Linked DNA regions of Lepisosteus oculatus. The protein of the gene in region 1 purifies or fractionates together with the protein of each later gene. This does not show direct contact. Links are inferred from orthologs where the notes say so. Each region holds a gene or a part of one and is shown in the gene's direction. Other genes may lie near its edges.

Region 1 (7,614 bases):
CCACTCAAAGCGCTTTACCCCTCCACCACCACCAATGTGCAGCCCCACCTGGATGATGCGACGGCAGCCATAGTGCGCCAGAACGCTCACCACACATCAGCGATCAGTGGGGAGGAGAGCAGAGTAATTAAGCCAATTTATAGAGGGGGATTGTTAGGAGGCCATGATTGATAAAGGCCGATGGGAAATTTGGCCAGGACGCCGGGGTACACCCCTACTCCTTTCGAGAAACACCCTGGGATTTTTAATGACCACAGAGAGTCAGGACCTCAGTTTTAAGTCTCATCCGAAGGACGGCGCCGGTTTACAGTATAGTGTCCCCGTCACTATACTGGGGCATTAGGACCCACATGAGCCGCAGGGTGAGCGCCCCCTGCTGGCCCCACTAACACCTCTTCCAGCAGCAACCATAGTTTTTCCCAGGAGGTCTCCCATCCAGGTACTGACCAGGCTCACACCTGCTTAGCTTAGTGGGTTGCCAGTTGTGAGTTGCAGGGTGATATGGCTGCTGGCATTTTACTGGTTTTGGAGCACTTCAGGCCCTGCGAGAGCAGGGCTGGGTTGTGGATGGACTGGCTGGGGGGCCGAGCGGGATGGGGGGCTTTGGGGACAAGGCGCGGAGCCCCCGTGGGGCGGGGCCTGCTCACTTACCACGATGGGCCCACGGCTGGTCTGGCGGTACACGTGCTGGTAGCCCAGGTACAGGACGAGGGTGGCCACACAGTACAGGAAGCCGAAGACGCCGACACAGACGAAGAACTCCGCGGAGGAGGAGTAATCCCCCTGGAGGTACAGCTTCTCCGTACCGTTCTTGCAGTTGGTGACCTCGTACTCCACTTGACTCAGCCTGCGGAGCAGCAACAGCGCAATCAGTCAGGCACCTCGCTGCTCATTCTGCCCGTTTTACTGCTAGTTTTCTGCCTGGATACTGGGAATCGCTGAATGAAATGGGTTGGTAACAGAGCAGTCAGCGTTGCTGCTCCACAGCCCCCAGGTCCTGGGTTCAAGTCTGGCCTGGGACTCTGCCGTTTGTGAATAAGATAAGAGCAGCTGCTATAAAACTGCCTTTGTGGATGTGTGCCCTTGTGTCCTGGCAAGCTCTGAATGCTTTGATAAACAGAACAATAACTCAAATGGATGTTCTAAAGAGGTTACAAATACTGTCACATTGATTTTCATTGTTCTAAAAAAAAAATGTAAATGGAGATTTTAAAATGTGCCACAGTAGGATACGTATTTGATACTGTCTAGTAATATAACATGACTGGCATGACATCTGGATGTCAGGTGGGCAGGAGCTGGGCAGTATCGCATTGCAGAGGAGGCGAACAACACAGTATCACCCACTGAAGGTTTCAACCATTGCCAACTACCTGCAAAAGGAGTGCCTGTTTGTGAACACTTACACCCAACAACTGAGCCGAGGGCATGGATAACGCAATCCAAACACCAGGAAGAGAACCAGCACAGTCATTCCCCACACCAGCACGGGAGGTGTTCAAGGCGCAGTTCAGGAACCCACCTGAAGGGATAGCCGAAGCTCGTGGTGATGTTTTGGATGGGACCCGGTCTTCCAGATGTGCACAGGACGGTGACGCCTGTGGTTCCGGTGTAGCCCCCCGTCGTGGCGAAGGCAAAGATCGTGAAAACCTGCAAACGAGGAAGCGGCTCGGCTTTCACTCGCGCCCCAGTGCTGCTGCCGAACGACCGTGCCCTCCGACCCCTTCCCACTCATTTCACAGCTTCCTGCCCAGAGGCAGGGAAGTCACATGCTCGCTCTGAAAAACACTGCATGTCCCGGGCCAGGAGACCGAGCGCTGGCTACTCAGCACAGACTGGGCCTCGGGCACGTGGGAGGGGCCTGTCGACAGCTCCACCGAGAGCTCTGTGGAGGGGGAAAGTTGTAAGAAGGGTTCACCTAGTTCCCTTGTTTCTTCTCTTCTTAGAAACAGAAAGAGAAGAAGCAGCAAGGGAGATGCAGCCTGTCTGAATACCACTCTCACCAGATATGTTTCAGCAACACTCTAGGGGCTGGAGCAATATGTGCAGATAAAACCCCACTTTGGCACATGCCTGGTCTTAAATTTCCAGTGACTGTATTCTCAACGACAATTAACTGCGTATCTTTTTCTGACACAGCAGAGGACTACCATGAACGCTCAAGCTTCTCAGAATGGCTGGAACACAGTAAATGCTGTGCGAATCTCTCATTCCTGCAAGCAGTGGGAATTCATTGTAGCAAAGGTCTATCAAGTTACAGATTAGCCTCTGGAAGCGGACTATATGACTTCCTGCCAAAGTCCTTGCTCAGATCCGCTGGAGTTTTATGGGCTGACCGAGGGGCCTGGAGTTTTCACTGCTGCAACTTGCACACCTGGAGCACTTCAAGCCTTTCATGTCCCTGTTTTAAAAAAAAAAAAAGACTCCTCTCTTCCTCTCATCCCCCATCCCCAGATCCTCCCAAGTGCTCCCTCCCGAACTCTTTAAATAAACTCTCCCAGCCAGCACATTCCTTTGTGATTCAGCACTATTAATGGCTTTGTATTCCCACAGGCTCCCTGGGAAAAAAAAACACGCAGTACATGTAGACACCTCAAGAAAAACTCAAACTTAAACAAACCTGCTGCCCCCCTCCCGCTAAGGCAGCACCAACACAGAACATGTGCGTTCGTTTCTGCCTCGTCAGCGTCATAAAACCCTGGACGTCCAGCTCCACATGCTCGGCTCGCAGCCGCCAGGCCTGTCTGGCCCTGTGTGTGTGCGCCCAGCGGGCGGCCCAGCACGCCAGCTCCAGCTGCCTGCCAGCCTGGCAAGTCCCCCCCCGGTCCCGGAACCAGCCGCAGACGGGGGGGCCAGCCCCGTCACCCGCCAGCCTGTGTCCCCGTTAGCCAAACGCAAAGGAACTGGAGCCGGGCCTCCGACTGCAGAGCAGTGGCTCGGTCCATCCCGGGTTTTACCACCTGCGGCCTCAGGCCAAACGGCGCACTCCGAGGCACATCTGCATAAACTGCTCAGGCCTCGCACCCTGGCGTGTGATCTTTGGTTGGAACAGGATTCAGCTGGTAACAGCGCATACACATCCCTTCCCAGCACAGCAGGCCCTGCTCTCATGTGTGCCGAATCCGACTGCACTACTCTTTTTTTTTAAGCCTTTTCTCAGCCGCTTAGCTAAGATCAAGTGTAGTATCGTTTTTTTAACCTGGCCTTGAAAACAAGCGGTACAGTATAAAACAACAGACATTCATTTACATATATATTCTTGGCCATCCCTTCGAAAAGGCGTAATGAATGAATTTATCTTTTCACGGTGGCACAAGCAGACCGACCCTGGTGCGTGAATTTGCGTGAGCGTGTTTCTCAGGAGCCCGCAGACTCCAGGCGGCGAGTCTGCGACGGCGCAGGGGAGAGCCGCACACTCCGCGCCACGCCTTCCGCACACACGGAGGCCGCCCTGACCGGATTACCAGCCCGCTCTCCGGCTGCAGAGGAGAAACACTCTTCCCCTGCAAACTCCTGTACGGTTTGACACTTGCCTTTTGTACAAAGCTTTATTAGAAGCTGAAAATGTTGGTGTAGTCCCTTTATACAGCACCCCTGTGAACACACCTGGGCTGCACAATGTGAACACACAGCAGCCACGCAGCTAATCGCAACCCAGCCCGGATAATCTCATGCAAAACCTGGAAGAGCAGTTCCGCTGCTCCGGGCTCTGGCCCTCCCTCCCTCCGAACAGTCAGGACCTATGACCAGGCGAAGTACTTCACTGTCAACTGGAACAGTTTACTCCCTCAATATTTAGCATTTCGGTTAAACCCAACGGCTTCTGATTTAGTGGCCAACTTCCTTCATTCTCGTGTTTTATTTTTAAACACCTGACCGAGGAGAAATAGGGGTAGCGGGTATGAGGGGTAGGGAAGACGGACTCCTAAACTCTTCCAAGAAACCGAGCGCCGTCCTAGTAGAGAAGCTCTCTTTCAAGTGACAGAAAGAGGCTCGCACCTGTGGCGTGAAGTCACGGTCAAGTGCGTTTCGTCTTCCTGTTGGTAACAAATAAATAAATAAATGGGCCAGTTTCCGCCAGGTCACGCCGTCCACAGGGCATAGCCGTTTGGGAGCTGAATAACCCGGTCCTGTCCGGTCCGGTCGAGACTGGCACCGCAACGCTTCTGGTAGACCCCTCGAATCCCACGGGAAACTGTGTCGCTATTATCAGGCCAACAACTTCAGATGACCCTGCATCGTCATCTTCCTACAAGCACGCCGTCATGACAAATGAGCTTTGCGACAAGGTGCGTTTTTTCGGTATCGAGGGCGACTCTTTGGCCTTGCAGACAAGCCCGCGTGTGACCCCACGATTTACTTCTTAATTATAAAGTACTTTACATCTTTACTGTCACTAACTTGCAACCACCCCGTCTTTAACTATACACTTACCCGACAGCATGAGCGACACACGTTTCATAGTAACTAGCTAGAGACCAAAACGTAAACCTGTTCCATCTCATCGTTACATAGAAACATGAGGAAAAATAAATCAACACGGGAGAAACGTGCTTAAAAACGAATTCAAAAGCGGAGCGGGGTCCCAGCGCCTCGCGAAGGTTTCCCAAGCTGGGACTTGGGTGTTGCCTTGGGGAATCATTATTGTATAAATCTTCACGCTTCGGGTAGCAGACTAGCAGAAAAACACGGTCTCATCGCAGCTGGTGCCGAAGCAGCGCTAACATCCACCCCAGATCCGTGCAAGTGCATGAGTTAACACTGATTAACTTGCACGGAACCGAAAGGGAGAGTGCACCGGGCTAATCGCTAGCTGCTCCACCGTGTTTCGTTTCTTCCCTCAATAAAAAAAGGCCGAAAGCATGCACAGGCGCTTACCCACTCCAGGACTCGGATAAATCCCAGGGGCTCTTTTAAAGGTCCGATGTCCAGGCTGAATCCCGTCATGACTTTCTAGAAGTGCGAACAAGCAGGAGAGAGGTGTGACAACGCGAAATGGGACGACAAGCGCAGCGCGGAAACCAGCCGCTGCGAGATTAGTGATCAAAACGCAAATGTAGTTTTTTTTTCCAAGTTAAGTTACCTGAGCTACCGCCTCCATTGCGTTATCTCTGTGAGTTTTTTGCGAAATTACTTTTCTACGGGCTCAATTTTTTTCTCTTCCTGCAATCAAACCGTTTTGTTGAGAAATGTTTTTTTTCTCTTCCCAAGTGCTGTGAGTCAGCCTACCCTTGACCGCCTAGTTGCAAAAAAAATCCTCCTTCTCTCTCTCTCTGAACTTTTCTCTGTCAAACTTTCTGACCCGACACCCCCCGACCACGTGACCCGGCTCTTAAAGGCGCACGGCGTCACGCGACGCTCCTGAGCAGTCAGGAGTTTGCAATGGGATGTTGCTATCTTTCACAGAGTTGTTATATGAATAGTAATTAAAACAAACGCACAGAGGGCAAGGACGCCGATATTATTTTACGTTTCAGTTAACATAAACGGCGTCTTGAAACGCACACTATTCGTGTACGCGAAATTAGAAGAGCTTCACCACATTGGCACGGAAATTAAGAAAAAACGAGTTTGATTTAAACAAATGCCACCACGTCTTCAAGATTTCTGTTTAAGATTGCATATCTAACATTTCTACGTTATTAACACAATAAAATGCAGATGAACACTTTCTAACTTTTTCTACATAACTACAAGTTCTGTAACTTTTACATCAATGGGTTGTTTCAATAACAATAAAAGTGTATTTCGAGCTGCATATCCATTTAAAACATCGACAAAAGTCTAATTTTAAAACGTTCTCAGGCTGCATTCTACTTAAATGTTATTTTAAACATATAATGCAATGGTATTGTTATAATCCAGTAGATTGTTTTACAAATCCAGACTTGACGTCCTTTAATTCCATGTGCTATTCAGGAATTATAAAGCAGAAACTGACACAGTGTTAACAGCCAATACAAACCACGTACAACTTTTTAAGAGTTGAAAGAAAATTTAGAAGCCTCCTAAAAAAAGAATATTTGAAATCATTTCCCCGCACTTAAGAACGTGGCTGGAGTAAATACCCAGACACCCAGTTGTTCATCAAGATCAGGATTGGTGTAGATGTTCCTGAGTAGTTTACTCTGTTCCTTGAAGGACCAGTGTTTTTTGGTTTTGCACCAGAGCTCTCAGTTTTACAGATGGACTATTTAAGGGTTTAAATGAGGAGCAGCTTCACTGTGTGTTGCCTGCAAAGGATCTATCCATCCATCCAACCATTTCCTAACAGCTTCATCTCATTCAGGGTCATGGGGAGCCATAGCCTATCCCAGCAGGCAACAGGTGCATGGCAGGATACACCCTGGACAGACCAGCCCATCGCAGGGCACAAAGGAACCAGTAAAGGTTCATTACTCAGAGGAATGTAAAAGGAAAGAAAAAACACCTTCAGTCTTCAGGCCTTCTTCAAGTATGACCTTAAGGTTTTGACACCTGAAGAAAGCTTGGCAGCCAAAATGCTTTGTTTTATTTTACTTTTTCAGTGTGACATTAAACTTTACTATGGATTTTATAGGTAATCTTAGTCTTCTATTAAGTGACTGTTTTGGTTAATCAACTGTAACACACCTCAAGAAAAACCCTATACTGTTCTGGTACCCTTTTGCCTGACCGCCCCATCATCTCATACTGTCGACTGCCTAATCTGTACAACCTTATTGTTCACAGCTCCCTTGACTGCCCTCAGCAACCATCCACACCAGACACTTTTCCCCCGCAACAGAATCTGCTGCAAATATATATCCACTATCACTTCCATTCAAGGCCTCTCTGGACAGATGACATATTGTTCTTCCTGCAACCTTGTTTACTCCATCTCTTGCAGAAAATGCCCAGACATCTACATTGGCGAGACAGGAAGGAGACTGGGAGACCATTTCAGGGAACATATCAGGGCTGTGAGGATCAAAGATCCCTCCAAACCTATAGTTTCACATTTCACCTTTAACAGCCATACTGATCTCTCTGTCTGCATTCTCACAGAGAAGGACATCCGAAACTAGAATCACACCTTACGCCTTCTCTCAATGACAGACTTGTTTCCTTTCCACTCCTGTCTTTTGTTCTCCCATACTTTATCAACTGCCCGTTTTCCTCTCTCCCCCACACCTGAAGAAGACTCCAAGCCAAAATGTTGTGTATCTTTTCTTTTCAGCTTTGAATTAACCTTTACTTGTTCCTTTGCAGTCTACACATGCTGACGCAGCTGCCTACCTGAACGTGTTCCACCCTATACTGTACTCGTCTGACTAAGAAACGAGATCAATGATTAGAACTGATATTGGGTGGCACAGCGGCGCAGTGGTTATTATAGCAGCCTCGCAGCACTGAGGTCCTATGTTAAACTCTGGACAAGGAGTGCTATCTGTGTGGAGTTTGTACGTTCTCCCCTTGCTCGCTCTGGTTTCCTCCCACAGTCCAAAAAAATACTGGTAGGCTAATTGGCGCCTGGGAAAATTGGCCCTGGTGTGAGTGTGTGCCCCATGATGGACTGGTGTCGTCCATGGTACACCCTCCTTGCACCCAGTGCTTTCTGGGTTAGGCTCCAGCTCCCCGTGACCCTGAATTAAA
Region 2 (7,850 bases), on another chromosome or scaffold:
TCACTAGAGAGACTGTAGTGAATCTTCTTCACTAGAGGAACTGAAGAGAATCCTGTTCACTAGAGAGACTGTAGTGAATCTTCTTCACTAGAGGAACTGAAGAGAATCCTCTTTACTAGAGGAACTGTAGAGAATCCTGTTCACTAGAGGGACTGTAGTGAATCCTCTTTACTAGAGGAACTGTAGAGAATCCTGTTCACTAGTGGGACTGTAGTGAATTCTCTCACTAGAGGGAATGTAGTGAATTCTCTCACTAGAGGGATGTAGAGAATCCTCTTTACTAGAGGGAATGTAGTGAATCCTGCTCACTAAAGGGACTGAAGTGAATTCTCTAGAGAGTGTAGATAATCTTCCATGAAGTAGCTGACATGGAAAAGGTGTGTTGGTACCAAAGAGTGGAGAGTCTGTTAAGCGAGGTCATTTAACATGAATATTTTAGTTGATCATTTCAGGTGATTAACTGCGCAAAGCCAAAATCTGAATAATAAATTCAAATAACAGAAGCAGAAATTCTTTATTTTGTGAAAGAGAATTATCTGATTCTGCAGTCTTGACCTAATTCATCAGTGGCAACGTGTTATCTCCAGATCACTCCCCTTCAGCCACGTCCGGTCGCTCGGTGTCCCGGAACGACGTGGCCGGGTGACGCCTCTGCCACCTGGTGGACAACCCGGCAAACTACAGCTCGGTCCCGGAGCGCGCTGCAGCTTGTGAAGACGTGACACGCGGCACGACGCGCGCCCTGCCGCTCTGCAGGTGAGACACGGCGTCGCAGGCACCGCCGCAGGTGCTAGGGTCCGAAACAGGGTCACTCACAAGGTCAGGGGTTCCAGTCCTGGTCTTGGGGAGCCCCAGTCCCCAGTCTTGTAGGTCAGGGGTTCCAGTCCTGGTCCTGGGGAGATAATTACAAATCTGGGGTGAGTTTCCCCGAAAACGCTGAATCATAGAGACTAACGAGCAGCATTACGATGTACGTACTACTTTTTCGCGCGTTTCCCCAAACCCCCCCTTAATCGGTCATTTTAGAGCGAGTATAAAGTACTTCTTTGCTCACCCCGCCCCTGAAGTCGCTTAGCAAAATTGCTGATAAAACAATCGATCGACGATACGTTCATTATATGGTGTCGGTTTTGGTCCTTCAGTGGGTTGAAATTAAGTTGTGAAAAGGAATATGAAGTAAACACGACATCATAATTTAACAGCCATTCAAGCGAAAGCGTATCGATAGGCACAAAATGGGACACTTATTGTTTCTAAGAGAAAAGAAAATAAATGACTGACGTGCCGTAAAAGAAAACCAAGACTGACTGTGTGGAGAGTGTATGCATCCTGCACGGCGTCTTCGATTTAAAGCAATATTTTTTAGCGCGCTGCCACTGTTAAGAATCAGTGTTTCATGAGAAAATACTGCTGTTATTAATAGTTATTGGGTTTATTGGAACTCCATTTTAATCGGTCTTATTAACACGACATCTGTAACAATGAACTAACCAAGCTTGGCACTCAACTCGACAAATACAGGACCAATAATCAAGTTTGAAAAGAAGCAGGTCTAAGCTTTACCGTCATCAATCACGACAGAACATAAAACGGTATTGGACTTTTAAATATGGCATCGACCGCGGGTTTCGGTAGGGAACGGAGCGGGCGTGGGGCTCGAGGAATGGGGTTGAACAACACATTTAATAACGAGAAACGAGGAAAGGTGCATACACAGGGACAGGGGTTACAGCGCTGCACACACACACACAGGGGCTGGGTCCAGAGTGAGCCCGGGGCTGAGGGGGGAGAGAGAGGAACTCTAACACTCTCTCACTCTCACTCTCACTCACACACACACACACACACACACACACAGGGGCTGGGTCCAGAGTGAGCCCGGGGCTGAGGGGGGAAAGAGAGGAACTCTAACACTCTCACACTCTAACACACACACACACAGGGGCTGAGGGGAGAGAGAGGAACTCTAACACTCTCACACACACACACACACACACACACACAGGGACAGGGACAGGGGTTACAGCCCTGCACACACACACAGGGGCTGGGTCCAGAGTGAGCCCGGGGCTGAGGGGGGAGAGAGAGGAACTCTAACACTCTCTCACACACACACACACACACACACACAGGGACAGGGGTTACAGCCCTGCACACACACACACAGGGGCTGGGTCCAGAGTGAGCCCGGGGCTGAGGGGGGAGAGAGAGGAACTCTAACACTCTCTCACACACACACACAAACACAAACACAAACACACACACAGGGGCTGGGTCCAGAGTGAGCCCGGGGCTGAGGGGGGAGAGAGAGGAACTCTAACACTCTCTCACTCTCACTCTCACTCACACACACACACACACACACACACACACACACAGGGGCTGGGTCCAGAGTGAGCCCGGGGCTGAGGGGGGAAAGAGAGGAACTCTAACACTCTCACACTCTAACACACACACACACAGGGGCTGAGGGGAGAGAGAGGAACTCTAACACTCTCACACACACACACACACACACACACACACAGGGACAGGGACAGGGGTTACAGCCCTGCACACACACACACAGGGGCTGGGTCCAGAGTGAGCCCGGGGCTGAGGGGGGAGAGAGAGGAACTCTAACACTCTCTCACACACACACACAAACACAAACACAAACACACACACAGGGGCTGGGTCCAGAGTGAGCCCGGGGCTGAGGGGGGAGAGAGAGGAACTCTAACACTCTCTCACACACACACACGAAGGGAAGAGAGTGTCTCCCAGCCTCCGCCCGGCTCTACACAGCCCCGCAGTCCCGCCCCCGGGCGCTGTTCTCAGTCCGCCCTGGCGTGCGCCTGCTTACGCGCCCTGCGTGGCGCAACAGTATAAATACATGTGAGACCCAATGATTTCACTTAAATAAGGCATTACTGCATTTCATCGCGGCAATCATATCATCTAGTCAAGTATAAGACTTAGCCGTTTTTATTTTTGAATGAAGTGTATTGTAACGGATTGGGGTTCTCTGGGCATGCGCCCTCGCCGCTCCCGTACAAACAGGTAGAGGGGAAATACAGATGAAAGACAGACAACATAAACAGAACAAAAACACAATTAACTGCCAGCGGGAATGAGGTGAATATTTATGTAACCAAGCTACATGTTTACAAATATCAAATGTTTTCCTTGCTTTAGCATTTTTGCACGTTCTTTATGGAATTTAAATCCAGTTTAAACTCCACCTCAAAGGTACTAAAGGAGGGAGTATTATTGGCCCATTTGACTAATAAATTCATTACTGTATAAATAAATGTTCGTTTTCCAAATTTCCTCTTACATGGTACAGCAAAATATCAAACTCCTTCATATAAACTCTTAGTGTCCTGTATTCCCAGAGGATGCCCCTGCCGTGAAGTGACGGTGCTCTGTCTGGGATCTCTGGCGCTCAGGGTGGGCAGGAGGAGGCCAGTTTAAGAAGCCCTTAGTGATGAACGAGCGGGTCGGGGAGCACGTCGAGTGCGAAGGGTTTAACGTGCTACTTCAGTAACGACGGATTTGGGGAAACACTCGTCAATTAACGATCGATCTTAAGCTCGAGTTTACGATGTTCTCAGCGTCTTTATAGTGTATGGCTTAAGCAATAGCTCATCTCCAGCGTGCAAGCGTTAGAAGCGGGGAGTAGCATCGGAGCCTTTTTTATTTGTTTTTTATTAAACATATAAAGAATTTACAAATACAACTACAACCATAGGATCCGAAACAGACAGGTACGAGAGAAAAAAACACAAACAGAAAAAAAAAACATTTAACCGCCAGAGGTAGTGAAGTAAATGATGTGATCAAATTGTATTTTTATATATATCATGTGTTTTCCTTGCTTCATTATTTCTCAAATTTATTATAGAAATTAAAAAGTGTTTCAGCTCCACTTCAAAAGCACTAAAAAGGGGAGTACTATTAGACCATTTTGATTTATGAATGTGACATTTACCATGAATGACTTATACATTTTCTTTAAATAAATGCTCTTTTTCCAAATTTTCTATTCAACAGTACAATAAGCGTCGGAGCTTGTGGGGACAGGGACGTCACAGGGTGCCTCGGTCGCCGTGACGTCACGACAGCAGCGAGCCGCCGAGACGCTCTCGGGTACCGGAGCGAGTTCAGAGACTCTCCCCCCGCACGTAACACGAAAAGTGATTATTCAGCCTCTTATAAATAAATATTGCTCCTAAATCAATGCGGGTTGGCATAAGATCACAAAAGACTATTACTGAAGAAATAAATACCTGTATAATATGCACATGATTTAGAAAGTTAAAGATACGGACGAAGCTAGGCATGGGAGTTGTAGTTCCTTTGCGCCGCTTTCGACGCTTCAGTCAACCGGGACGGCCGGGGCTAGAAGACTACAAGGAAATCCCCATGAGTGAAGTTGAGTTTTTTGTTCTGTTAGTTCGTATGTTCGGGTTTCTCCATAACTTTCGGTTTCACTTCGACAGTGCTGACTAACCGTGTCTGTCGAGGCCTGCAGCAGCGCACATCTTCAGATAACATTCACCTTCGAAGGGGGTATAATCGCACGGTAAATTGCACGATAGCCAATTGTAACGCAGGTGAACTTGCTGTCGTGATAATAGCGATAGTCGTGACAGTAATCGGTGTTTCCAGCAGCAAAGCCCGGACGAGACCTTACTCAAGTACCGCACCGCGATGAATCCGCTGGAAATGAAGCCAGAGACGAAGAAACAGGTTATTGTTGTTGTTGTTGTTATTATTATTATTATTATTATTATTATTATTATTATTATTATTATTATTATTATTATTATTATTATTGAGAGATGAGGGGGCAGTAGTCTAGGAAAGAGAGAGACAGACAGATCTCGGAGTGTGCGAGTGTAATCCGACTCTCTGTGTCTGCACCTCCTGAGCTACACCTGTCAAAACACTGACTCCTAGACTGGGAGAGAGGAGGAGGGGGTTGTGAGGGGTCTGGAGAGGAGAGAGGGGTGGAGAGGAGAGAGGGGTTGTGAGGGGTCTGGAGAGGAGAGAGGGGTGGGGAGGAGGAGAGAGAGATGAGAGAGGGGATGTGAGGGGTCTGGAGAGGAGAGAGGGGTGGAGAGGAGGAGAGAGGGGGGTTGTGAGGGGTCTGGAGAGGAGGAGAGAGGGGTTGTGAGGGGTCTGGAGAGGAGAGAGGGGTGGAGAGGAGGAGAGAGGGGGGTTGTGAGGGGTCTGGAGAGGAGAGGAGGAGGGAGAGTGGAGAGAAGGAGGGAGAGGGTTTGTGAGGGGTCTGGAGACCCTCTGGAGAGGGATTAGAGAGGAGAGAGGGGAGAGACTGAGGAGAGAGGGGAGGGATTGGAGAGGGGAGAGACTGAGGAGAGAGGAGAGGGATTGGAGAGGAGAGAGGAGAGAGGGATTGGAGAGGAGAGAGGGACTGGAGAGGGGAGAGAGTGAACTGTGAGGAGTTGGACGATGATGTGTCTCGCTGTGTTTTGCAGGTCGATGGATTCTGTGCACAGCTGTCCAAAGAGGTGAGCCCACTCAGAGCGCATGGCAGGTCACAGGAGTCCCCGCTGTCTGCTCGGCTGCTGTGTATCAGCTGTGTGTCGCGTCTGTGCTGTGTGCATTTTTGCTGTGTTGTGTTAACTGTGGGTCACGTGGACTTGTGCATTAGCTGTGTGCAGTGTTCGTGGGGTGTTATAGTTGTGTGTTAATTGTGTGTTGTGTGTTGTCTCTGTGTTGTGTTAACTGTGTGTCACTTGTAGACTTGTGCATTAGCTGTCGCCAGGTGTCGGGGGCTGTCCTGTGGTCAAGCTCCTGCAGTTCAGAGAGGGGCAGCGTGGGGCTGTCGTGTGGTCGAGCTCCTGCGGTTCAGAGAGGGGCAGCGTGGGGCTGTCGTGTGGCCGAGCTCCTGCGGTTCAGAGAGGGGCAGCGTGGGGCTGTCGTGTGGTCGAGCTCCTGCGGTTCAGAGAGGGGCAGCGTGGGGCTGTCGTGTGGTCAAGCTCCTGCAGTTCAGAGAGGGGCAGCGTGGGGCTGTCGTGTGGTCGAGCCCCTGCGGTTCAGAGAGGGGCAGCATGGGGCTGTCGTGTGGTCAAGCTCCTGCAGTTCAGAGAGGGGCAGCGTGGGGCTGTCGTGTGGTCAAGCTCCTGCAGTTCAGAGAGGGGCAGCGTGGGGCTGTCGTGTGGTCGAGCTCCTGCGGTTCAGAGAGGGGCAGCGTGGGGCTGTCGTGTGGTCGAGCTCCTGCGGTTCAGAGAGGGGCAGCGTGGGGCTGTCGTGTGGTCAAGCTCCTGCGGTTCAGAGAGGGGCAGCGTGGGGCTGTCGTGTGGTCAAGCTCCTGCAGTTCAGAGAGGGGCAGCGTGGGGCTGTCGTGTGGTCGAGCTCCTGCAGTTCAGAGAGGGGCAGCGTGGGGCTGTCGTGTGGTCGAGCTCCTGCGGTTCAGAGAGGGGCAGCGTGGGGCTGTCGTGTGGTCGAGCTCCTGCGGTTCAGAGAGGGGCAGCGTGGGCCCCAGCGAGCCGGACTCCTGCACCCCTCCAGCAGACAGGAGAGGCTGGCGAAGTGTTTTGTTCAGGGAACTGTCGCTCTCAGAGGGAGGTGCACCCAGACTGGGGGATGGCTCCGTTGCCTAGTTGTGTGAAGTCCTGGGGTGGGCGCTGGTGAGGGCAGAGTAGTTGGAAATTGGGGTGTAAACGTGCTACAGCTGAGCAAGGCGCCCCAGAAGGCCTCCGAAGAGACAGAACAAAAATTGTGTGGTGGTGTGGTCTATCTCTCCGGTAGTGTGGTCAGGCTCTCCAGTGGTGTGGTCAGACTCTCTAGTGGTGTGGTCAGGCTCTCTGGTGGTGTGGTCAGGCTCTCTGGTGGTGTGATCAGGCTCTCTGGTGGTGTGGTTAGGCTCTCTGGTGGTGTGGTCAGGCTCTCTGGTGGTGTGGTTAGGCTCTCTGGTGGTGTGGTTAGGCTCTCTGGTGGTGTGATCAGGCTCTCTGGTGGTGTGATCAGGCTCTCTGGTGGTGTGGTTAGGCTCTCTGGTGGTGTGATCAGGCTCTCTGGTGGTGTGGTCAGACTCTCTGGTGGTGTGGTCAGGCTCTCTGGTGGTGTGGTCAGGCTCTCTGGTGGTGTGGTCAGACTCTCTGGTGGTGTGGTCAAGCTGTTTGGGAAGGGAAGCCAGGCTGCGGTGCAGTCAGGTTACTCCTGAAAGGGTGTCCTGGGGGAGGGAGAGCCAGGGCTTGGGGGCGCCCTGGAGCTGGAGCTGGAGCCCATGTGAGCGGTTTGGGGTCCGAGCAGGCCCCTCCGCGCCCGGCCGGTCGGGTGGCGCGCTGCTGTGGGGGATCTGCCTGCAGGAGCGTGCTCACGGGCTGCCCTGACGTGTCTCTCCTCGCAGGCCGAGAATCTGGTCGCCTCCTTCTTCCCCCAGAAGATCGCGGAGATGGAGGCCCTGCTGCTGGTACGGACTGTGTGACTGTGTGTGTGTCCTGGTGCAGTTCAGTGTGTGGTACAGCGCAGTGGAGTTCCCTGCCCACTGCTGTGCTCTGTGCGACTGCACAGTATAGTGTGTTATACTGCAGTACAGTACAGTGTAGTACAGTGCAGTGTAGTGTAGTATACTACAGTGTAGTGCAGTGTAGTGTAGAATACTGTAGTACAGTGTAGTGTGTTATGCTGCTGTAGTATATTGCAGTACAGTGTACAGTACAGTGAGGTGTGCAGTGTAGTGTACAGTACAGTGTGTACAGTACAGTGAGGTGTGCAGTGTAGTGTATTGCAGTACAGTGTACAGTACAGTGAGGTGTGCAGTGTAGTATTTTGCAGTACAGTGTACAGTACAGTGAGGTGTGCAGTGTAGTGTATTGCAGTACAGTGTACAGTACAGT
Region 3 (8,293 bases), about 33 Mb from region 1:
TAAAGACTACATGATGCACACTGTGGATTGTAAATGAGTTTACTGTACAGCTCTTTGAGGCAGACTACGAACTTCAAGAAAACCCCCTTTTCTTAATGTAAACCTATACATGACCGAAAAAGAACATAAGATGCTGACCTTCCCCTGTATCTTTAGTTTAGCCGATCCAAGTGAACGTTTTGCGAAACTTAACCTTCTAGAATCGGCACAGGAAAGGGGTGTATGAGTCACAGCACCACTGTTATTGATACTTTATTGATCCTGTGAGGGGAAACTGCAGAAGACGTGCAGAAATGATCAGAGAAGCTCGTGCTCTTCCCTGACAAATACACTGTATTCTTCCCAGCAGACTGTAGCTCTGCGCTGATCAAAGTTAGCTTTGATGAAAAGATGCTAGCTTTTGGGTAGTCGGATAAAGGCTACTTTCATCTCTGGGCCGGGTGTAAGGTTTACAGACACCTTGTCACAGGATGTCATGTGACCTACGGGCTTATAAAGCCTCAGTAGACCAACAGCAGGCAACACCATTCTAAAAATAAGCTGTAGCATTTACTGATGCTAGAGACGGGCGGGTTTCTTCTGAGAATCCGCGAAATAATAATTACAGAAGAAAAGGGTGGGTAGCTGGCTTAGAGAACTACAGCTATTGTGTCCATTTAAAGTAAAATCATAGCTTTCCTTACAAAGTCGATCCATGTGTGCGGGCTCAATTCACGTAACAAGTTTAATGGAAACCGTAGTAAAAGGAAAGAAGGGACTCTTCTTGCGCCGAGAAACTGACGCAGCACCAGTTCAGATGTAGAGATATATATCGGAAGCACAGACCTGATTCCTTTCAGGCCAGTACCATATGAGTCACCCATATTGCAAGGCTCTCGCCCATAAAAGAGTATGTCTTTTCATTTTCGTTAGCAAAGACACGTCTCAAACGTTTAAAATACCGTTTGCACCGTCCAACACTGCCTGTTGTGTTGCTACTGAGCGGTGGGGGTAACCTCTAATCATGTACGCACACCCACAGTAAACGGCAAAGCTCGGGTTTTGATCGAGGTGAATCTTTCGTTTTCCAAGAAGTGAAAATGCCGGGGGACCTGCCCGTTCAGCCGGGGGGGGGGGAGGGCAGCGGCTGTACCTGCCTCACCTGTGCAGCAGCAGCCAACAACACATCGGCTCCGGCGGCTGAAACCAGCCAGCGGAGAGTCCGTGACTAAACGGAAGCATTTCATCCGGCAAAAAATGTGAGCCTTGGGAGCGGAAAAAAAAAAACGCGTTTAAAAAGCGATAAAGAAATCGAAGCTACCAGGCGCCGGAGGCCCACCGCTAAAACAGACATTTACCCTCATCCTCCTCCCCATCACCACCTCTTCGTCCGTGAATTTTTTTTTTTGTTAAGATGCATTCTTCCCTCCTGCTCTCTCATCTGCCTGCCTCCCTCCCCGCCATACTCTACCTGCGCCGATACTGACCGAGCAAGAGAAGATGCGAGCCGAGGATCCAGGCGAAAGCACGGCGCGGGTCCGAGCCCCTGCTCTCCATGGCCAAGACGGGAGGGATTCGCGAGTCCAAAACGCTGCGCCCCGTCCCCTTTTTTTTTGTGTGTGTGTGTCTCCCCCCCTTTCACAACAACAGTCGCTCCTCTCTCCCCGTCTCTCTCTCGCTCTTCCTGCATGGCAACAGGAAGGCCCACCCCCGTGTCCTCCTCCTCCTCCTCCTCCTCCGAGATCCCGGACAGTGCCCGGCACTGATTGGGATCCCGGATGGATAGGAGTGGGATCGGGATTGGGGAGTGACCGACTGGGGGAGCCCGATAGGCGCTCCGGCCTGCCAATCAGACAGGCCCTGCAGCCCTCCGCCGGAGCCCCACTGCTGCCGCGGCTCAAGCGGCGGTACTGCTGTGCAGAGTCAATAGTATTTACGTACAGTAATTATTAGAATCAACTTTATTTCGCATGGCGCCCTTGAAGGTGGCTTCTCCAAGCGCTTGACAGAATGATAACCATAAAAAACACACCAGATTCGCAGCAGGGGAAGGTCCTGTCACCCCCTCGAGTGTAGATGGGTTTTGGGGGGACAGATAGGAGACCAGAATCAGAAGACTGGGTTGAGTGAGGGTTGTGAGGTGGGGAGTAGGATGATAGTATCAGACAGGTCATACAGAGCCTTATAGGTGAGCATGAGGACTTTGAAGCCGGAAAGACCCTTGTGCAGAGATTTAAAATTAATCTAGATGATAACTGTGCCTTTTGATACCATTCAACGTTTATTTTGGTTGTGTCCTATTGTAAAAACCTTCGGGACTGAATTGAAAACGTATGTTAAAAGAAGAAGCTAATATTGATTTTTTTTTAAGAAATGGACATCATGTTAAGCTTCAATTGAATTGGAAATAACACGAATATATCCTTTGTAATTGACTTAATTATTATTCCTGCACGTTATTATTTATGTCAAGTGAAAGGGTCTGGGAAGACTCCTATGTTGTCCTATGAACATTTGTAAATAGATGTAAAGGCGTACTTGCAGACTTTTTCGAAATGTAAAAACATGAGCATGGATCTTATCTTTATTCTGTTTAAACGTTTATTCATAATGTGTATAGGTACTGTAATATGTTCTCCTGACGATGATATTGTTATGTTATGTTATATGTACTCTTGCTTGTATTGTATTTTATTTTGCTGTCGAAATAAAAAGTTAAAATATAAATTTTACTCCTGTGGGTCTCTGTTGGGTGGGACTGGTTTTTTTTTCGATTTAACGACAAGAAACCGCGTCGAGAAACAAACTCTAGTGCACTCCTGCACACCAGTCCGGGCGTTTTTTGTTGTTTTGAGTGGTACTTCGTTCAAGAGTTACGCAAGAACCGCGTCCAAGGCAAAATCTGAAAAAAAAAAGGTTATGTTTAAAACAGACCACGAATACAAGAAAAAAAAAAACGTGTCAACGTGGAAATTGAGATCAAGCACTGGGTGAGGGACTTCACGCAAGCGGCTCGTTGGTCTAGGGGTATGATTCTCGCTTAGGGTGCGAGAGGTCCCGGGTTCAAATCCCGGACGAGCCCGGTTATTTTGTTTCCTTTTTCAGGAAAGCTGGTGAATGTAAAATTTGGTTTCAACCAAAACAGTTCGAGGTCAGTCGAACACTTGTAGTATCCTTTTGCTATACCTGTAATCGTTTAAATGTTGGTACACATAAACCAATTGCTTATAATAAAATCGCAAAATGCTTAAAACACGAAATGAAAGAAATAATGCCCAAATATAGGAATGTTTAAAACAAAAAAAGTCAGATGACAAAGTGTTTCAAAATAGACACGGGCTCGTCCGGGATTTGAACCCGGGACCTCTCGCACCCGAAGCGAGAATCATACCCCTAGACCAACGAGCCGCTACGCGACTAGTCGTTGAACCACACTCCTTAATCGGTGACGTGTGCATGTGTTGTATTAATTGACGTATTCTGTTCCCTATAGTCTCAAAAAATAAAACAGCCTGCTCGAGGAACTCAGACTTCCAACATGTCCGATTACATGCTTACCACTCTTGTTGCAAATGTGTCCCTGCGCTGCAAATAATGCAACATTCGTACGTGGTTCACAGCACTGTAAAACTAGACTTTTACAGCAGACAGCTTGTATCTGTGCATCGTGGTTTGTGCAATAGGCAAGCGCCCGAGTGATTAAAAACACAATTCGGTGTTATCTTTTCTTATTTCACGGCGGTGAACACCGAGCCAGCCCAACAAGACGACGCGCTACCCTCTGCTGGGCAGTAGCCGTAATTGACGAGAGATGTGAAAGTTAGGTCTTCTGGCTGCTGTCGAAACCAAAACCAAAATGACCAAAAACGAAGCCTTAAAGAAAGGAAATGTATATAAATATGCTGTTCAGTCAAACTATAAAGGCTACTACCTTAAGTGTAAAAGTCTCTCACAGAAAAATGCACCGATAAAACAGGTCACATACAAGTAGACAATTTTGTTAAGAATCAATCAATAAAAATCAGATGAAATTTCTGTTAAAACATTTTGACTAACAGCAAAACAAGAGATATATATCGCTTGTACGACTAATGAGAAGGGTTGGTCTTCCAGCGAAGTATTAGTTGGGGAAATTGTTTGCTCTGTAATGGCGTTATCGTATCTTTCTGTCAACAAATGGTATCCCAGAAGAATTCGTTTTTCCAGGATGTATACAGTTGGAATACAGTTGGTTGCGACTGCTTTGATGCCAATTCATTTGTAGGAAAGCGCCTTAGTCATTCAGGAATAGTAGGTTACTATCTCCACTGATCTTCTGCAGAAAACAACTTTTGGGCTTGTGTGTGCAGAGCTTGCAAACGCACAAGTCTGTCGTCTACACGTACTCGAGTATTCGTGTTATCTGTGTTTTTTTTACAGGAAAATATTGTATGTATTATTAGCAATCAGGTGGTAACTTTAGGAGTCAGGTGACAAGTGACAAGTTTCACAGTGATGTGGTGATTTGCCTTTCACTGGGCACAACTCCACACGACATATGAAAACAGGATTTACTTACAAATATGCGGAATCTGAAGTTATCAGGCAGTAACACGCTATGTAAACGGAAAGAAAAAAAACATTTTTCTGTAATTAGCCACCGCTGAAAAACAACAGGATTCAAAGAGAAACCAGAAAAGCAGGGCAGAAACAGTCAGACATAAAATACTTGAATTTTTTCATGTTATAAAGCATCAGTTTATCTGTAATATATCTAACATTAACACCATTGCATCAGAGAACTGGCAGGATTTTATTTAATTGTTCATTTTTGAATCTTACTATTTGAATTATTTAAATATTATTTAATATTAATATTTTAAAACATCGTTAATGGTTCAGTGCTATGTCGCACTAGAGAACCACTAGAGGAGATGAGAGAACACGTCTCATCGGTTTTATCATGATTTGTTTCTATGGTATAATTTGTGACTTACCCACAGCCATTCGGACAGCGCCCTCTGCTGTTCCTGGTGTGGTATTGGCCACAGCCCAGCGGCCTACTTGCTCAGATCCGCCTTCGGAGTTGAGCAGGGAAGTTAGAACAAGCGGTGACTTTGTGGGAAAAACGCGCATTGCTGTGTTGACACAGAAAACCTCCTGATGGCCACCTTTTTCGGGGAAGTCTTGTCTGTGTACTCCAGAGCTGTGGAGGAGGATGAAGATGAATTAGAAGATGAAAGCGAAGAGGATGTGCAAATCCGGAGAGAAATAGAAAACAAGAGGTAGATGATACCTACGTAGGAAAAAAAAAATGAAATAAAGGACACCCCCTTTCAAAGAGAAAACGCGTACTTCTGCATGGTGTTTTTACGATTTTACATTGTTGGTACAGCTTTACACAAACTGTGCTATTCTGTAAACCGCTGGTATGATAATTCTAACATAGGGACACGATATGGACAGAGGTTTACAATAACGTTAATATGGATGTTTTTTCAATGTACGTTAGGTGTTTTGTGGGGAGCATCTTTGGCAGAGTACGGTGCTTGTCCGTGTTGTTTTTGTGCTGTTTTATTCATATATCTCACATGTGAGGTCTCTTAACTTTCGCTTTCAGTTCTTTCTGGTCGTTTCTACCACACTCCTCAGATATCTCTTAATGGCTGGTCTGAGGACCATGAAACGTAGCTGATTTAATGGAACTATAAATTGCACCTCGGTTGTTCCAGGTTCTTACCCACCCGTGATTTAAGTGAAACCACAATACCTGCTGGATTTTGCGTGTCGAGGAACAGAGGTCCCGGGCGCATAGAATAAAAATTAACTTACATTTAAGTGATCGATATTGAGTTTACAGCCTTTTCCAAACCGACTTGCATAAAAACGCGTTAAGAACAGGACGATGAAATCCGTCAAAGCTACTGTATGTTCAAAGGCATGTCAGAACTCAAAAGGTCATCTGTCCATCATCAGAGAGACTCTTGGTAAAGGTAGTAGCAACCCAGAGCTTATCCCATGAGCACAGGGCACAAGGCAGACCTACAGCCCGAGAGGGAATAATATGAACAACTTTCCTGTTTAAATTGGCTGCAGTAACCAACAGTTTCTGTTGTCTTTTGCTTTGGCAGAGAAGTCCATGTTCACTGGAGCTCAGAGATCACAAAGTCAACAGACAAACCCTTTCAGTGCAGTGACTTTATCATAGGAGTGGGACACAATGCAGCAGGTAAGCAGAGGGCAAAACAGCTCTTTCTTGCTTAAACCAGTTAATGCACCTATTTCTGGTGGGTTTTTCTGATGGGCACATTTAGCTGAAAAGCAGAAATAAATAGTTTAAATCAAGGTTCCAGTATACGGGCCTACATGATGAATATGAATAGCTTCTGTGACTCCTGACGCAATACCAAAAACGAAATGTCTTGCTCTAGCGTTATATTAGGCAGTTTTCCCACTAGCTGTTGTCTGCAGTTGTTGATATTATCATTTACTTTCAATCCACCCTGTTAGACTCAACTTTGTTGAAGATTTTGCATTGGTCTGGACGCTGGAAGCTAAGGGTATGAGACTAACTTTGTACGCTGCAGTGTCGTCTCAGACTGTCCGCCACCGTAGCTCGTGAGTGCAGACGGCTCTTTGATTCATCGTGAGCGGGATCGGTGTCGCGATGCAGGAGTGGTTTGTGCCAAAGCACGGACAAGCGGAGGGGGGTTGGGGCGGATTGGGAAAGCAGCAGGCTGGGCGGCTTGGCTCGGCTCACGCGGTCTCTTCTCTCCTGCAGGGTTTCTCTCGGCCTTTGTCCTGAGCTCTGGGAGCTGGGAGGCAGTGGGGTCGGCCAGCCTGTGGAACGAGAGGAGCAGGGGCTCCAGCCGGCCGGCGGGAGAGCCCTCCTGTAGGTTCTACAGGTCGGCTGGCTGCTCCTCGGTGAGTGTCCCCCTTCCGACGGATCCCGAGGGCTGGCAGGAATAGTGTGACTTCGGAGCTGTGTGCCGAGCTTTGAGGAAGGCCCTGGAAATAGCGTCAGGGTGTGCAGTCGAAGTGCACTGTCAGGCGTCTACATGGTGTGGTGTAGATGGGTGAAAATGTACTGTGTTTTATTACAGCTAACTAAAAAAGTTAAGAAGACAGGGTTTTTTGTAGGTCAGGTAACATTCACTTACGTTTCTGCATTCCTCTCTTTTGTGTTATAAGGTTCTAATATGTCTGTGCACGTGCTTTGTAGCTGAAGACCAGTTATTCCAGTGGACTGAAAAGGTAAGATAATGACGTTTTTTTATTTATTTTAGACATCGACGCGAGTTTGTTCTAAGCCTGCTTCCGAGCCGAGATGACAGTGAGTCTTAAGCCATGTGTAGCCAGTCTAGCCAATCAGACATTTAGTTCAGTTGAGTTTCACAGACCTAACGTATGGTAGTCATAGACCCTCTGCTGACTGAGAGCTGGATTTGAAACGGTCTTGTCTGAAGGCAGGTTATTCAGGCTCAGTCTCTGATGACAGAAGGCAGATAAAGCCATTTAAAAGTGTTTACTCGCGCGTGGTTCAGGAACGCATGCCAGAGCTAGTGGAAAAACACTTACTCAGGCTTCCACAGGGGTGTTGTGAAACCTCTGCCTTAGCAGGCGGGTGAAGAGGGGGCTGCGAGACTCTTTCTGTACCCCTGTGGTCCGCAGGTCTTCGGCTTTATCCAGACGAGAGGCCTGCAGGTGCTGGTGCTGTCGGACGCGTCTGTGTCCGAGTACACAACGGCAGATCCCGTCTCCGCCAGTCCAGTGCCCTTCCTGAGAGCCTTGAAGTCCAGCGCCTATCAAGACAGGGTGCACTGCCCCATGATGGAGCAGCCCAACATCGTCACCTGCCTTCCTGCTGCAGGTACTGCCAGTGTCCTGGCTTTCCAACCATTCATCCTCAGACACCTGCTCGATTCGAGACCCTCCGGTTTTCTTCAGAAATAATCATTTCTGCGACAGCTTCATCATAAATTAGTCTTTCACTTTTTTAGTTATTTCTGTGGTATTATTTTCCCTCAAGAACATCTGGGAAAGGTGAGGACTGTTCTAAAATAGGCAGGGGACTGTTAGTGATATTGCCAACGCCAGACAGACCAGAGCCTTGACAAGCACCTGTTACAGCTGAGTGTTTTCTGTGAAGTGCTCGATGATCCCCTCTGCATTATTTTTTTCAGTTCTGAGCCACTGTCAGGTTCATCAGATCCCAGCTGTCCTGTATCAGTGCTACAGTGATGTCGTCAGTCCTGATACCGTCACCATGGAGACCTACAAGCCAGCCCTGCCTTGTCTGAGCAAGTTAGTAACGGTGAGTAAAAGATTCTCTTCA
Region 4 (8,071 bases), on another chromosome or scaffold:
CAGAGGCTTAGCAATCACAGGCCCATGAAAGTGCAAAATTGCTCAAGCTGTACTGATACAAACTGCACACAGAGATCTTAGCGAAGCACAAAGCATCCACAGCAGTATTTTCACAGATTTTGGCTCCTCATTTATTTTCCAAACATGTCTGTAAATGTTTAATAATCAAGCAAGAGATGACATAGTAATGGAAAATTGTAAAAATACAATCACATAGATGTTCTTACTCCTCATCAGCTGAAATCAGCTTTTGTAAATTTCAGTTACAAAATAGGGCATAGACCTTCCACTACAGCTTTTCTGTGGTTCTAGATTTTATCATCCACACACCATCACCTTTTCCTTTTTTGCTAGGTGGCCAGAAACTTATTTTGGTTGGGATAAACCTTATTTATTGTTAATATTTAATAATAATGTGAAGCCAGTTGCTGTGCTCTGACCCACAAACTGTGAGAAGTGCTCCTGACCCTTGAACCCAGCGGAAATAAACCAAAGCTCAGAAATGGAGCCCCCATTCCTTGTTTCCGTGGAAACAGGGTCAGATCATTAGATAGCTAGGTCCTTACACAGAACCATGGACACCGGTGCAACACAAGAGACAGTAGCACCCAATAACACTCAGCTGAAGACTCTCTGAAGGTTGTGAGGTCCCTCGGAGGAGAGATACGCTGGGAGAAGAGAACTGAAAAAAAACAAAGGCAGACCCAGGGCCGGGAAAGCAATGCCAAGAGCATCCCTGTCCTGGCTCCAGAGAGGCAGGCTGCTCTGGCACAGGCCCGAGAGCCTGAGAGGAGTGGATCCACTCTAATGATATCAATATGGCCAGGGCTTCGGCTGCCTCTGACTCAACTCTTTCAAGTCAGTGAAGAGAAGGCCTTGTGAAGATTAGCGCTACTGTACTGTTTACAAAAAACAAATAGTTTCAAGATCCGACATAATGTTTGTTATTGAACCACTAGATAACAGCTGGATTCACATCAGTAAAATCCCCAAAAAAAGTGCCGTCCTAAATATAGAATTACTTTATTTACATATTACATTACATTCTAAACCCTTAACGATTCGCACATGTGTTTTCATTACCGGGTTCGCAGGGACAAAAATGTTCGGGGGGGAAACCTTTTATTTCACTTTCTTTTTCTCTTCCGCGTGAGGGCTCTGGAACAGCAGTTCAGGCATGGTCATAGTCCGACTCCTGGCATTTCTTTTCCCTCGGCTCTCCGGCTGGCGAGCGAAGCGCTGGCTGTGCTGTGTAGGGGTGGAGGTGTCAGTGGGGTTGGCTTTGTGCCGCCTGCGCCTCACTTCTGTTTCAGGACTGCTCATTTTACTGTGGCAGGCCGCCGTCTGCTGTCACCCGTCGTGCTCCAGTGTCCAGAGGCACAGAGGAAGTAGGTGAAAATGGACACTGCCTGAGAAGAGCAGAAGGCCCAGCAGGTCAGGTTTCGGGGAGCCGGGGATCCTCCGCCAGCTGCTCACTGCCTGAAAAAAATTTGCAGCTTTAACTGCACAAGGGCATGAGAAAGGCTGACTTCATACCTATTAACTCAACCTGTTTCTGTCCTGCCTTAAGTGCCTGGTTTATTTTAAGCCCGACTCTAACTAAAAAGCAAGCTAAAACCATGTCCTGGACTGTCTCTCCCTCCTGCAGTGTGATTTAAGGCTCTCTTTAATTGGTAAGTCATCATGTACAGTAGAAGACTGGGCTCGACTGTGGTCACCACTTTACAACAACGATGATGCTACTCTGAAATCAGGCCAGAGAAGATCGAGCAGGTATGTTCCCAGGCTCAAAGGAGCAAAAAGGTAAAAGAAGTAAATATTTTAATTTCAAAAAGAAAAAAAGTGACCAGATTTAAGTATTCAAAATCCTCACAGTGAAAGATTTCAGTATTCAAAATCCTCCTGGACAACAGTGAAGCACCAAGCAGAGCACACAGGGGCAACTTAGGCAAGTGCTTCTAGAACCTAAACCAGGAGGCACTTTACACAAAGAGTCTCAGGGGTCTGGAACAAGCTGACACCCTCGCTTTCATCATGGGATGACCTGAGCAATGAGGTAATAGCAACCAAATGAGCTAGATGGGTCTCCCATTCTCACGATGAAGCCGCTATCAGGTGACTCAGCAGGCACTCATTGGTGCCATTATATACAACACAGAATCACTGTGTTTAGCCAGAACACATGTTTAACATCAGGAGAGTTTTAATGGTACTGCACTGTGTGTGTCCTGGGCTGCAGCTCCAATGATGCGCGCAGCACCTGTGAACCTGGTGCCAGGCTGCCTGGCCTCGTGCTCCTGTGGTCAGAGGTGTGCAGGAGGTAAAGGACTCCTACAGACTAAAGCAAAATGTGGAGGTCCTCCGCACGCCAGTGGAGGATCCACATGGTTTCTGGACATGGCCAATGTTTCACAGCTGCGGTTGCAGAGGAAGTTGGGCGGCAGCCAGGCTCTGACACGGCTGGAAGGCGTGATGGGCTGGTGCCAGGTCACCTCGCCCTCCCCAGGGCTGCTCCGCTGGGGCAGGATCCCGGAGGCCAGGCCTCCTTCAGCTCCGGACCCGTCTCCCAGACAGAGCTCCTTCCACACGTCAAGGAGGACCTGCCTGTCCTCATGTCCAGAAGCACACGGGGGCTGGCAGAGTCATGCAAGTGATCTAGTAAGACCATATATTGTTAATTAATTGTGCAAACAAAGAAGACAAAGTTGATGGGAATATGCTGTGTAAATGAACTTCTGTGAAATGTGTTTTAGATATCCCAGAAAGAGGAAACAGATGTTGCTATTATCATTCCATGAGATTTCAGAAAGTTTGCAAAGCCTGTGATGAAATTAGAAACCACATTCTTTAATGATTTTTTTTCAGCTTTCGTAGGATTATACTGCAGAGAAATGTAACTTTGCAGTTACTTACGTAACATGCTTATTGTCTGCTTGGGGGTTGTACGTGAATTGTGCATGTTGTCATGGCCTGGTCTCTGGAGCTCAGGCCTCTTGCACACATGCACACTCCCACCCTCCGCAGGAGACACTGCTCCTGGAGCCCTGCGCACTGACCTTGTTTCAGTGGTGGATACCTTTGCACCACTGTTACTGCTAGAGCCCACAGACATTCATGTCATTGCTAAAGCTCCTGCATTAATAGTGTTGATTATCCCTGTTTATGTAATTAAACCCTTTTTTGGCACTCCACTGGGCCCCTGTGTCACTGTTGTTCTCTGATGTCCTAAAAATAGTGATAATAAACAGCACCTTCAATGCTTCATTAATGATACTGAATGCCCAGGGTCTTCTTTATTAGTATGTGGTTAGAAATACAAAACCTGTGTGTCTTACAAGCTCCCCAGTGTATCCACTGGTTATACAAGACTCTGGTCTTACTAAATCACCGTCACAGCATGCCTGTGTAATAAAGGGCCTCAAGCAAGGGTCAATGCTAATTTATTTCAAAGAATACACATATCACTTCTGAACAAGTGAAGGTTTATTCCATACTGTAAAGAGAAGAAAAGAAACACAACCTTTCGGCTGTAGAGCCTTCTTTGGGTGTGTCCCAAAGAAGACCTAATAATAAACCTTTACTTGTTCCTTTGCAGCCTACACATGCTGATGCAGCTGCCTACTTGAGCTATCACATGTCCAGTCACTAAAAAGCATCCTTATTATTTATAGAGTCCATGTTACCAGATATTAAAAAATCAGGGATTTTAAATACTCCAGGTTTTTTTAAAATTGGGGAAAGAATATTATTTTTGAAAAATGTATAGACCCCAATCAGCCCAGCCTGCATGCCCGTAGATGGTGGTAGGAGACACACGCGGACATGCAGACTCCATTGTTGACCGTTTCTAAAACCACCCACCAGAGGGAGACAATGAGCCATGTGGCGCCACAAATCCTATAGCAGGAGAAGAACATTAGAACCGTTTCTAATGCAAGAAGACCATTCAGCTTGTTTATCTAATTTGTTATTTCTCAGCAGCTAACTGGTGTAGTTATCCTATTCCATGTTTTTTCATGAAGGAATATCAGCTACAACAACAGCATGCCTGGATAGCTCGTTCCAGACCACCACAAGCGTTCGTGTAAGGAAGTGACTCCGGTTCTCGGGTTTAAATGCGCTTTCACATAATGCCCACTTGCGTCCTCTGGTTCGTGTTTCACTGTTCATCCCGGAGGACCCCACAGCGATTCACGGGTGGGGCGGGACCCGGGGAAGTGCGGTTCTCACCCGGGCAAAAACTCCGCAGGTCAGGAGATGGGGGAGGAGCTGTTTCTCCGGGTGATTTAAGCGTGAAAAGTGGGGCTGGTTCGCACTGATACAGGGTGGAATTCAGGCAGGACATCGGCTTTAATGGTGGTCATGAATATTGGTTTAAAAGCATTCATATTAAAAATCCTACAATTTAATAATTTCAAAACTGATAGAGACTTCATTATATCCAAGTTCAATACGTTATAATTATACAAATTCAGTATTTCTTAATATTTAAATATAAATAAAACCACTTTAGCGTGCATTACATATGGTCTCATTTTCCAGAACCACGACTTCAACGCTCAACGCTGCAGGTCAACGTTGCATGAGCGAACACTGCCCTCTGTGGTTTCTGCTCTGTATTGCATGCAAAAATGACGAGTCATTAAGAGAGAAAATTATTTTTTATATAATTTAAATTTAATCTGAAATCACTTAAAAAGAGAATAAATGTTTTGAACAAGGAACAAGAGAAAACAAAATATAGCGCGTTCACAGGTAGAATGAATGTATTAACAATTAAATTTTAAATAGCACGTACAAGCAGGATAACGTCTGTTTTAGCTATATTTCATTTATTACGGGTAAGTTTGGCAATTTCCTCGGAAAAATATTGCGAGTCACACGGGAAGCGTTTTTGAAAGAAACTGAATATGCCACATTTGCCGGGCGGAACTAAAATGAACACAGGAAGTGTTTCCATCTCGGAGTTTCAACGCAGTGGGACACAGTCGCGATGGACTGCAAAACAGATGCCTGGCAGTTTCGCTTTTGTGTTTCGGTTCAGCGTTGTGTCGGTGCATACGTTCGTTGAAGATGGCAGGTTTGGAGCTCTTGTATAATTCTGTCGTCAGCAGCATCGCCTGTCCCCAGGATGCCCTGGTTTGTTTTGTGCACTGGGAGATAGTGAAAAACGGGTACAAATGCCTGGGCGTCGGAGACCAGGTATGTATGGAGGTACCTGTTCACTTTTACCTGGCTGAATTAGCAATGCGCATTCAGGGATGGAGCACAGTGCAGGCTGTACGCGTCTAGGGGTGTAACTGTTGTCAGCTGCTATTGTGGGGAGGGTATCAAAATGTGGTTAGAAAATGTTTAAAAGCGGTGGTATTTGATGTGCTCTCCAGATCACATCTTCTGCGGTAGACGCCATTCAAGAAAAACACAAGAGTGGAAAATATAATACTGGTAATAGCGCGGTGTTGTCTGGCAGACAGAACTGGCACTCTTCCGAAGTGCGTCATGCCCGTCTGATACCTGTCGTACTTGTGGGGTAGTGATGGGTGTGTGACCGTTGCAGCCGAGTAGCAGCGACCGGCAGTCGGAGCTCCTGCCGGCGGGGTGGAACAGCAGCAGCGAGCTGTACACACTGAGGTACCAGTCGGGCGACAGCGGCGAGCAGCTGCTGGTCAAGGCCGTGACCGTGGACACCACGCTCATCTTCAACGTCCTGGTACGTGCGGCTCGCTGCGTTACTGCAGCGTATCTTCACTCGCTGACTGACCACGGCTACTTCAACTTTGCTGATCCTTCTGTGTGTTTTTCTTCTTGAGGAGTAGTGAAGGCTTTTGTCTGTAACTCGTTACCGTACTCTTGCACTGAGTAATGTGTGCAGCTACAGGATTTCACGCAAGCAGGTATGAGCTGACCTGAGACTTGATTCCATAACGAATCTCAAGCTGACAGAAATGAGTGCTCTAGTTGTTTTTGCTGAAATGGGTTCTTATTTGTAGACCACTGGAAAACAGTTTTCTATCTTATTTAATTTGGGAAGTTCTAATTAATAAAATAATTAATCCCAGGGTTCCATTATATTGTGGAGACAAATGGAATAAAATCCAAGTGAAAGGAAATTGATTGAAAGGAAAGGATTGAGAAGCTTTGTTTCGGAGAGTATTATGGTTTTTTTTTTCTGTTCTGTCTTTGTTGTGTCAGGAGTCAGCTTCAGGACGTGTGTCTGATCTGACAGTGAGCCTTGGTGATTATGTGCATGCAGACAGTCTCCAGGTATTCGAGAGGTGGGTCAAACGTCTCTAGGCTGTCGTGTTGTGCTAAAAGGGCAGAGTCATGCAGGACTGAACTCTGTGTGTTAAGTGAGATTCTTTATTGCCTGTCAGACACTCTTATCTCTGCCATCTAATGACTCAGAGTTGGGCTATGAAAGGATTGGCAACTCGTTTTAAGAAATCAAAATCACTTCATTTCGCAGCAAGAATCAAGCAGAAGTTGTTTTTATCCCTGCACTCAAGACACATTAAATGACAAAATTGTAGCAAATCCAATATCAATAACAATTTTATTCAGGACTTTAAACATTAACTTTTTGGTATTTTTCCAGCATGGTATTTTTCATGGTTTTATTAATTTGTGCTACAAATAGAAATATGTTTTTCTATGATTGTGAATTGCCTGTTGCAAGAATGTTGATATTAACATGCAGCTGGTCTTTGGTGCATTTATCTATTTTGGAGAATTGCACAAAGTGTCCTGATAAATCTGGTCTCAGCAGCAAAGTGTGGTGAGTACAAAACAAGTTGCCAATCCAGGAAAGTGTTCATTGTTAAGATGGTGTGAGTGTTTCTAGTCCCTTTGTAGTACATTTGTAGAAATGTTTAGTCTTCTTCAGCAAGGAGCGTAGGAGCTGTGTCAGCAGGTGATGGGCTGATGTGGTGTTGGTTGTGATGTACTGCCTGTCTTGACAGCGTGTTCAAGAACACTGAAGAGCTGAGGAAGAAGGTGCAATCAGGGCTGTTTCCTTCAGCCTCCAAACAGAAGACTAAGCCCAGTGAGAAGGCAGAGAAGAAGGGCCTGAGGGAGAGTCCTCCATGCTTGTGGCCCGACAGAGACCCCCTCCGGATCCCCCAGAGAATTCCTCGTTCTGACCGGCAGCCCAGCTGGTAGGGCCACAGGATGGGAGCTACAACAATCGTTGCTCCGAAAGGCTGAGCTATTAAACTGTACAAAACTGCAAAAAAACATGCACTGTAAATGACGGTTCGATCTCCATTCCATAGTGCTGATGAGAAAACAGCAAACGGTATAGTATCCAATTTCCCTGCCTTAGTCACAAGCCTGTTTGCACTCGTGCTTTTACACATGGGAGTGACTGAGTCTTCCTGGGCTCGTCGAGCTCTGTGTAACACTGCTTGTGCAGGGCTGCAGGCCTGTTGAGCTGACGCATACTGCAGTGAGGCAGAGTGACTAGGAGCCTGTAATCACTCTGTGGTTTACAAGCTTCTCTGGCCAGAGCTGAGACAAACAAAATGGGCTTCTCTGACTATGGTTTGATTGATGAAGCCTTTACTGATAGCGGCTCTTAGACACTTTTTCCTGGAGTGAAGAAGCTATTTGGCTGAGACATACCCTCATCTCCGTTAAGGCTCTTTTGGAGCCTGAAATTCCACTGTTTGTAATCTTCCTGTATGGCACATGGAAGTCCAAAAAAAACAATTATCAGTTTTTATAGCCTGCTCTGATGATGTAGTGAATGTGAACTGAGTGTGTTGGGGCAATTCCCGGCTAGTAGTAATTTTCAGTACATTTTCAACTGGTGCAGTGTTTAGCATTGCTGCCTCAGTACTAGGGCTCTGGATTCAATTGTCTTGTTTGCATGCATTTCCTTTGGATGCTCCAGTTTACTCCTACAGTCCACAAACATGCTTGTAGGGTAATTGGCTTCTGGGGAAATTGGCCTTAGGGGTGAGTGTGTCTCTGTGTGTGCCCTGTAATAGACTGGAGTCATGTCCAGGGTGTACCCTGCCTTGCACTCGTTGCCTGCTGGGATAGAGTCCGGCTCCCCCGCAACCCTCAATTG

What was found.
Region 2: the proteins of psma5 (region 1) and psme1 purify together in Homo sapiens (co-immunoprecipitation; 5 studies listed by BioGRID and IntAct, with this or other methods). This does not show direct contact. The link is inferred for Lepisosteus oculatus from reciprocal best matches to the Homo sapiens genes PSMA5 and PSME1.
Region 3: the proteins of psma5 (region 1) and psmg1 purify together in Homo sapiens (co-immunoprecipitation; 4 studies listed by BioGRID and IntAct, with this or other methods). This does not show direct contact. The link is inferred for Lepisosteus oculatus from reciprocal best matches to the Homo sapiens genes PSMA5 and PSMG1.
Region 4: the proteins of psma5 (region 1) and psmf1 purify together in Homo sapiens (co-immunoprecipitation; 3 studies listed by BioGRID and IntAct, with this or other methods). This does not show direct contact. The link is inferred for Lepisosteus oculatus from reciprocal best matches to the Homo sapiens genes PSMA5 and PSMF1.

Annotation. Positions count from the first base shown.
Region 1 is NC_090700.1:39,863,685-39,871,298, reverse strand, and holds the start of psma5 (proteasome subunit alpha type-5), read left to right. Parts: upstream 1-4,257; 5' UTR 4,258-4,272; coding exon 4,273-4,289; intron 4,290-4,878; coding exon of another isoform or gene 4,879-4,953; intron 4,954-5,083; coding exon of another isoform or gene 5,084-5,101; exon of another isoform or gene 5,102-5,307; intron 5,308-7,614. Other genes in the region: sypl2a (synaptophysin-like protein 2a), read right to left, coding at 652-847, 1,523-1,650, 4,879-4,953, 5,084-5,101. UniProt on the Homo sapiens protein: Component of the 20S core proteasome complex involved in the proteolytic degradation of most intracellular proteins. This complex plays numerous essential roles within the cell by associating with different regulatory particles.
Region 2 is NC_090699.1:14,406,435-14,414,284, reverse strand, and holds the start of psme1 (proteasome activator complex subunit 1), read left to right. Parts: upstream 1-4,439; 5' UTR 4,440-4,567; exon of another isoform or gene 4,568-4,656; 5' UTR 4,657-4,695; coding exon 4,696-4,734; intron 4,735-5,483; coding exon 5,484-5,516; intron 5,517-7,360; coding exon 7,361-7,423; intron 7,424-7,850. UniProt on the Homo sapiens protein: Implicated in immunoproteasome assembly and required for efficient antigen processing. The PA28 activator complex enhances the generation of class I binding peptides by altering the cleavage pattern of the proteasome.
Region 3 is NC_090700.1:6,524,656-6,532,948, forward strand, and holds the start of psmg1 (proteasome assembly chaperone 1), read left to right. Parts: upstream 1-5,019; 5' UTR 5,020-5,121; coding exon 5,122-5,243; intron 5,244-6,089; coding exon 6,090-6,187; intron 6,188-6,739; coding exon 6,740-6,882; intron 6,883-7,149; coding exon 7,150-7,212; intron 7,213-7,629; coding exon 7,630-7,828; intron 7,829-8,141; coding exon 8,142-8,272; intron 8,273-8,293. Other genes in the region: mpzl1l (myelin protein zero-like 1 like), read right to left, coding at 1,467-1,536. UniProt on the Homo sapiens protein: Chaperone protein which promotes assembly of the 20S proteasome as part of a heterodimer with PSMG2.
Region 4 is NC_090711.1:642,397-650,467, forward strand, and holds the start of psmf1 (proteasome inhibitor PI31 subunit), read left to right. Parts: upstream 1-4,964; 5' UTR 4,965-5,073; coding exon 5,074-5,202; intron 5,203-5,557; coding exon 5,558-5,710; intron 5,711-6,192; coding exon 6,193-6,275; intron 6,276-6,959; coding exon 6,960-7,154; intron 7,155-8,071. UniProt on the Homo sapiens protein: Plays an important role in control of proteasome function. Inhibits the hydrolysis of protein and peptide substrates by the 20S proteasome. Also inhibits the activation of the proteasome by the proteasome regulatory proteins PA700 and PA28.